2 linked regions of the Oryctolagus cuniculus genome follow. The protein of the gene in region 2 interacts with the protein of the main gene of each other region in a biochemical or structural test. Links are inferred from orthologs where the notes say so. Each region holds a gene or a part of one and is shown on either strand. Other genes may lie near its edges.

Evidence for each region.
Region 1: the proteins of UBA6 (region 2) and UBE2G2 form a complex in vitro, tested with the Homo sapiens proteins (2 studies listed by BioGRID, with this or other methods). The link is inferred for Oryctolagus cuniculus from reciprocal best matches to the Homo sapiens genes UBA6 and UBE2G2.

What each region holds. Positions count from the first base shown.
Region 1 is NC_091435.1:1,789,751-1,793,566, forward strand, and holds part of UBE2G2 (ubiquitin-conjugating enzyme E2 G2), read left to right. Parts: intron 1-3,353; coding exon 3,354-3,472; intron 3,473-3,816. UniProt on the Homo sapiens protein: Accepts ubiquitin from the E1 complex and catalyzes its covalent attachment to other proteins. In vitro catalyzes 'Lys-48'-linked polyubiquitination. Involved in endoplasmic reticulum-associated degradation (ERAD).
Region 2 is NC_091439.1:97,638,264-97,642,079, reverse strand, and holds part of UBA6 (ubiquitin-like modifier-activating enzyme 6), read right to left. Parts: intron 2,348-3,816; coding exon 2,166-2,347; intron 940-2,165; coding exon 834-939; intron 1-833. UniProt on the Homo sapiens protein: Activates ubiquitin by first adenylating its C-terminal glycine residue with ATP, and thereafter linking this residue to the side chain of a cysteine residue in E1, yielding a ubiquitin-E1 thioester and free AMP.

The sequences.
Region 1 (3,816 bases), on a different chromosome or scaffold from region 2:
AGTCCCAATTGGGGCGCTGGATTCTATCCCGGTTGCTCCTCTTCCAGTCCAGCTCTCTGCTGTGGCCGGGGAGGGCAGTGGAGGATGGCCCAGGTCTTTGGGCCCTGCACCCCATGGGAGACCAGGAGAAGCACCTGGCTCCTGCCTTCGGATCAGCTCAGCGCGCCGGCCGTAGCGGCCACTTGGGAGGTGAACCAATGGCAAAGGAAGACCTTTCTCTCTGTCTCTCTCACTGTCTAACTCTGCCTGTCCAAAAAAATGTTTGTAGTTGATGGACTTATTTAATGCACTTTAAATATAGTTCGAAGGTATTTGGAGTGAAGTTGTTCAGAATCGTCTGTTCTGCAGGCAGTACGGCTGCAGGCTCCTCTTGGACAGGTCCATCGGGGCAGTAACCCGTTGAACAGAGCCTGTGTTTGCCGTTCCTAAAGCAGTTCCTGCCCGCAGTCCTCAGCGTAGGTCTTTACACAGTCGCCTGGGGCTCCTGGAGCAGGACAGGAGGCTGGCGGGGAGCGGCCCTGGCCTTTTGCCTGCAAGGGAGTCAGGGTCCCTGAGTCGGCGCCTGCCCTGAGCAGTTTCTGTTTAACTCCTGCCGCCTCGTGCCGCCTGCTGTGGGTAGCCAGAGCCCTCAGCCATTGCTGGGTTAGTGGGCAGGGCCCGGGTAATGCCGGGAGGTGGCCTCCAGCGTGGGGACTGTGTCCTGCCCCACATCGCAGCAGGGCGGGAGCAGCGGTGAGACGCCTTCACTGGACTGAGGGGAGGCCGCGGTGCCCTCCCACCCTCCCACCCCTCCCACCCCACGCCTGTGCGGCTTCCGCAGCGTGGCGTTTGGGAGCGACCTGCCCCTTTCCAGTGTTAGTGGCCGATCTGGGCCTTGACCAGGTTGATGATTCCTTGCCTTTCCCACGTGCTCAGCAGTGAAACGCACGCAGCAGCTCTGACCACCCCTTTCTTCAGAGGGAGGTGGGAGCAGCGGGGGGCCGTGGACCACCTGTGTGAGCTGCGGTGCGGCCGCAGGCCTGGCTGGCCGTGCTGCGCTCCTGCTGCTCCTCACTGGGCGGGAGAGGCTTCCTGGCACCGCGCTGGTTGCAGGGAGGGCCCGGTAACCCAGGCTTGAGGCATCTCGGCTGCGGGGCCTGCCCTGCGCGGAGCGCGTGGCCTGGCCTCAGCCTGCCCTGGTCTCGGGCTGGAGCTGCAGGACAGCGTCCCCAGCAGCCCTGTCCACTGCGTCTCCCCGAGCAGCACGCACGCGCTTTCCTTAGACTGAGGGGCGCTGGGCCCCTCACGGTCTGTGGTTCACGGTGACGTTTTGCGGGCGGTGGTCACAGCCTCCGTGCGCGGGGTCTTCTGGGGACTTTCCACTGCGTGAAAGTGAAAGTCTTCCTGCACTGCTTTCTGGGCTTTTTTTGTCTTTTTCCTTTTGGTTATGGAAATAAATATTGCTTTTAATATTTACAAATCCATATTTTTATTAATTTCACTGAACCAAGACCATTTTAGGATTTTAAACAAGTATGTACTTTAAAAAAGTCATTTAGGGGCCTGGTGTTGTGGCGTAGGGGGTTAAACCACCGCCTGTGATGCCGGCACCCCAATGAGCACTAGTCTGAGCCCCGACTCCACTTCTGTCCAGCCCCTGCTGATGCACCCGGGAAAGCAGCAGAAGATGCCCAAGTGCTTGGGCCCCTGCACCCACGTGGGAGACCCGGATGAAGCGCCTGGCTTTTGCCCCCTTCTTTAGCCCAACCTGGCCCTGGCTTTGCAGCCACTTGGGGAGTGAACCAGCAGATGGAAGTGCACTCTCGTGTGCTCTTTTCTCTCTCTCTCTTTCTTTAACTCTTTCAAATAAACAAAAATTGTTTAAAGAAATCTTTTAGGAAATAAGTTCGTTTTAGAATACATTTTTCGTCGTCTCCTTTTCCTGTGCTGGTGGCCCCGTGGGGAGGCCCTTCTGTGCTGGAGCCTGCGCCCAGAGGGAGTGCTTCCAGGCCGCAGGGACAGGCGGGCTGCACGCTCCTGCTGCCGGCGTCGCCTCTGCTGTCGCCGTGTCCTGGCCGGCAGTCCGCAGTCCTTCGTTCTATTAAGTTCCCGTGGTGAGATGCTCTGAGGCCCGTCCACGGAGGGCGATGGGTTTGGGTGGAGGCGCAGGCTGGTGGCTGTCCCCTCTCCTGCGCCCCTCATGTTCTGCTCACGGTAGCATCGCTCACACCTGTGGCTTTCAGAACTCGAGCGGAGCTTCTGACAGGGTTTAGTGCGTCCCTGCCATTTATGTGCGTGTGCCCTCACGTGCACCAGTGACTGTGTGTGTACATCAGTGACAGGGAGACGTCTGTGTGTGTGTGTGCATACATGCATCAGTGACAGGAGACACGTGTGGGAGCACCAGTGACAGGGAGATGTGTGTCTGTGCACAGAGATGCATCGGTGGCAGGGAGAGACGTGTGTGGGCACCAGTGATGGGGGGAGTGGCTGTGTGTGTGTCTCAGTGGCAGAGCTGCTGGAGGGTGGGGCTCCAGGTGTGGGCTGAGGTCCCAGGGCTCAGCCTAAGTGGAAGTCAGGGGTTGTGTGTGTGTTTGCTTAAGGTTGTGAAAATCACTTCTTGGACACCTTTAAAAATTAAAACCAGCCTTTGAATACAACTCTTAACTCCTCATTTATGTCAGTAAAGTAGAATCGTGCTGTCAGTATGGCATAGTGCACACCGTTACCCCAGGGTGCGACTTTATCATACACACAGACCGGGGTCCCTAGGGCATTGCGATGTTGGCATCAGTTATTTTCTGATCCCACTATTACAAAGAGGTTTTGGCTTCTTGATTTTTTAAAATAGATTTAAACTTGTTAAAACTTTTGGACTGAGAGTGAGAGAGCAAGAAAACTGAGCCTGCAGTTCAGCCTTTGCGCTTGCACCCACGATTGGTTGATTTACTTTAAAATCTGAATTTTTATTCACTTACTTGAAAGGCAGAGAGCGAGATTATTCCTCATCTGCTGGCTCACTCCCCAGATGCCTGCAGTGGCGGAGGCTGGGCCAGGCTGGGCCAACGCCAGGAGCTGGGGGCTCCATCTGGGTCTGCCACGTGGACGGGGGGGGGGGGGGCCCTGCCGTGTGACCCGTCGGCAGGAAGCGGGGGTCTCCCCGGGCCAGCATCTTAACCACGGGCCGGGCGTCTCCGTCCGTGTAACTAGAGGTGGAAGGCTGGGGGCAGGGCGAGCCTCTGCATCCAGAGGAGTGCGTCACTCTGGTTTCGGTTACGCGGTCTTCAGGTGCTGTGGTGAACAGTGCACACCCTCGACACTGCGGAGACGTGACACTGCCCGATGCCTGATGTGCTGTTTCCATGTGCTTCCAGGGGCCCAGAAGACACCTGCTTTGAGTTTGGTGTTTTCCCCGCCATCCTGAGTTTCCCACTTGATTACCCGTTAAGTCCCCCGAAGATGAGATTCACCTGTGAGATGTTTCACCCCAACAGTAAGTGCCTTCCAGCGTCCTCTGCGGTGCCGGGCGCGGCAGGGAGGGCCCGAGCCACAGGAAGCGAGTGCGCCACCTCCCTAGACGCCTAGCACGCGATTGCCACCTGCAGGCGAGACGCGAGCCTGCCGCTGGGCCACAGTGGGTCGCTAGAAAGCAGTGTTAGCGTGAGCTCCTCCGTGTTGAGCGTGTGACCGGGCGGGCGTGCACCTGCGGAGGGTCACACGTCTGCTGTGGGGTTATTGTTCATGCTGGAACCCCAGTAAAGTAGCCTTTCAGCAATAGAGAAGTTGCGTTCACGTCACAGATGAGTGTGATGACGTAACGGCGTTCACGTCACAGAT
Region 2 (3,816 bases):
CCAAGACACTGTGGCAAATAAAACGACCTAAATGAATGATCTCTGTGAGTAAGATCCCAGTGGAAAGAACGGGCCATCAAAGAAGGAGGTACCTTTCTCTGAAGTGAGGAGAAAACTTCCACTTTGATTATGGCCTTGTCTAAATAAGGTAGGAATTTGTGAATTCAAGAGGCTTCCTTAGCCTTTGCAGCTCACGACAAGTGTCTTGGGTAATTACTGACGTCATAAATAAGATTGTCAATTGTTAAAACAACAACGGGAGTCACTGTGCACTTACTCCCCATGTAGATCTCTGTCCTTAATGTGTTGTACTATGCGAATTAACGGTAAAACTAGTATTCAAACAGTATTTTCTACTTTGTGTATCTGTGTGGGTGCAAACTGTTGAAATCTTTACTTAGTATATACTAAGTTGATTTTCTGTATATAAAGATAATTGAAAATGAATCTTGAAGAATGGGATGGGAGAGGAAGTGGGAGATGGGTTTGCTGTGGGTGGGAGGGAGGTTATGGGGGGAAACGCCACTACAATCCAAAAGTTGTACTTTGGAAATTTATATTTATTAAATAAAAGTTAAGAAAAAAAAAGAGGTTCTAAGAAAAAATAGTCAACATAAAACTAATACTCTATAAAGACCAGATACAAAATTTTGACAATTAAAAATAAAATAAGATATTTTTAAAAATGCACATGTACATGTGTATGGCAATAATTGGTCAAACAAAAAGAAAAGGACTCAGAAAAGTAAATCAAACTTTTTTGACTGATGAAGACAAAAAAGTTATGACATAAAAGTTGACAGACATTTACTTCAAAATATCATTTCACTTACATGACTATTGTAAGACTCAGTCAAATGAGGTACAATAACTTCTGTGTGTCCCTTAGTGCCCATTGTTCCAGAATCTAAGAGAGGTCGTAGATTTGCTAAGCAGCGGCTATTTGAAAACATAATAAGTAAAAACTCAGGAGTGAGCAATAACAATGTAAACAAAGGACACCCTACCACTTCCTACTGACCATTTCACAGACTCAACACTCCCTGAATGTAATGTTTTAGAAAGTAGATACAATACCACAAAATAACACATTGATTTTTAGCATCCCACTCCCATACACAAATTTTGTTGCTCAACCTAGTCATTTTTGTCTCTCTCTTCGACTACTGTTAACTGAATCTTTGGCTCTTAACAGTGTTACCCTTTCTTCTCTTGCTTTCTATGTCTTCTTTGATGATTTTCTGACTGCCAAATTTGATACCACAATATCTTTTCTCCCAAACACTGTTAATCTTTCTCAATACTTAAAATTCCTATGTTCTACATACTTTAATTTCTTCTTTTTCTCAAGATTATCAACTTTTCAATGCATTTTTCAACTGGTGAACCCTAATATTAAGGAGTCATATAAATGTAATAAAGTAAGGTATATACAGTTGTAGTCATTCATTCAACTCTTATTTCACAAGTATTTACTGAATAACACCATGAGTTAAGCACTGAGGACACAGTGAAAGAACATAAACAGTCTTAGCATAAATGATTTAGTGAGGCAAAAAACATTTATACACATATAGATAAAAATAAGTACTACAAAGAAAAAAGTATAAAGTGCTTTGAAGGAATCCTGCAAGATCTAATTTAAGCTTTAGCAGTTCAAGAAAATCTGTTTAAACAAAGTCATTTAGGCTAATCTGAAAGCATGAGGAAAAAAACTAAGTGAAGAGTAGGTAGGCAGATCTAGGATCAGAAGTTCTGGAGCAACAGAAACAGAATTTTTTGAGGCTGAAGAATAGTAGGTCCAAGACCCAGAGATTAAAAAAAAAAAAAAGTGGAGGTCTTTAAGAACTGAAAAATGGCACATGCAGTGCAATGCAGCTGTTTATCACTGCCTTCTCACCAGGCAAAAGCTAAAGCAGCGAGTCTGGAGGGATCAGGAAAATTTTAAGCCAGACAGGTACACAGGTGATAATTATTCCATTAAAAACATTTAGGCACGTGACCAATTTTGATTGGAAAACATCAAAGGCTTTAGGTTTAGGGAGCACTAGAATAGGAACATAACGAACAATCAGAAAATCCAGTAACTTCTCAATAAGTAGTTGTGGGAAACAGTAATGAAAATTAAGGATAACTCTTTATGAACCTGAATTTCAAGAGCATACCTGTCTACATATCTCCTGGCTTCCACATTATCTAATGCTGTAATAATTATATCTTGCTTAGTATAGAACTCATCATTGTAAATGGTCTCAGTGGCTGGACATACTTTGTTCAGGTGTGCATCTATTTTTAGTTGAGGATTTATTTTCAGAGTCGCATCAGCAGCAGTATAGCTTTTAGGTTTCTAAAAAAATAAAAAACAGAAGGAATAACATTAAACAAAAAAGATGACTATGACTGAATATACATATTCTTATTACTTTAGTCGTGTGTGTGTGTGTGTATATATATATATACACACACAGAAGGTGAGAAAAAAACTAATGGATGAATTCATTCTTGGTTTGTGGAAATTATATTAATTGCAGTCACACTACATTTCATAATGCTCATTAGCCAAAATAATGTACATATTAATAAAAATCTGAATAATCTATATTTCATAGGTAAGTACCTCTGAGTTTTTTTTTTTTTTTAAAGATTTATTTGAGAGGTAGAGTTACAGAGAGAGAGAGATAGAGAGAAAGGTCTTCCATGTGCTGGTTCACTTCCCAAATGGCCACAATGGGTAGAGCTGTGCGATATGAAACTAGGAGCCAGAAGCTTCCTCTGGGTCACCTACTCGGTGCAGAGGCCCCAGCACTTGGGCCATCTTCTACTGCCTTTCTAGGCCATAGCTGAGAGCTGGATCGGAAGAGGAGCAACAGGACATGAACTGGTACCCATATGAGATGCTGGCACTCAGGCAAAGGCTTAGCCTACTATGCTGTAGCGCTGGCCCCTTGAATTCTTATCACAGTTAAAAGTCCAATTACAAGTAGATTCCCCACTGCCCCCAGTAATGATGTTTGGTTAAGTGCCTAGACAAAACTAAAAACATATTCAGTAAAATACTAGAAATTTAGACTGCAGAAAATAAACTGTCAGAGGTTTAACAACTTGATATCAAACATTTTAAAAATTATAAATATTTCTGGATAGAAATTATTACTTATGTTTTAGTTTTATAAAAAAGTAGGCCAAATAAAATTCATTCTTTTCTGAAAGATTCATTGATAATCAATTATTAAATCGTTACTTCAAGTGTTATCAAAGTTTATTTGTAAGTAAATATGACCATTCTTTCTGAATTCACGTATCTGGTTTTAAAGGTATTTCTGTCTCTTCTCACATTGTTAGGTTGACACATTTCAATGTTCAGTATTTTTTTATTTTTAGAGTTCTTTTAATCTTATTTTTATTTACTTGAAAGGCAAAGCAACAGAGATCTCCCATCTGTAGGTTCATTCCCTAAATGCTTTTAAGAGCAGGTACTAGACCAGGCTGAAGTCAAGAGTTAAGAATTCCATCCATCTCCCACATGGGTTGCAGGGATTCAACTGCTGCTGGTGTGCATTAGCAGAAAACAGGATCAGAAGTGGAGGTGGGACTGGATCCCAGGCACTCTGACATGAGATGTGGGCCTCCTAAGCAGTGGCTTAAACTGGCTATGCCACAATGCCCACTCCCTGTCAAGTGTTCTTAGTATACCAACAAACCAGAAACTTTGTTAGAATTCAGTAAAAATAAGAAACAGGCCTTTATAATTCTTCTATAAGTAAAATACACAAATTTAAGTGACAATTTTTTTTTTTTTTTGACAGGCAGAGTGGA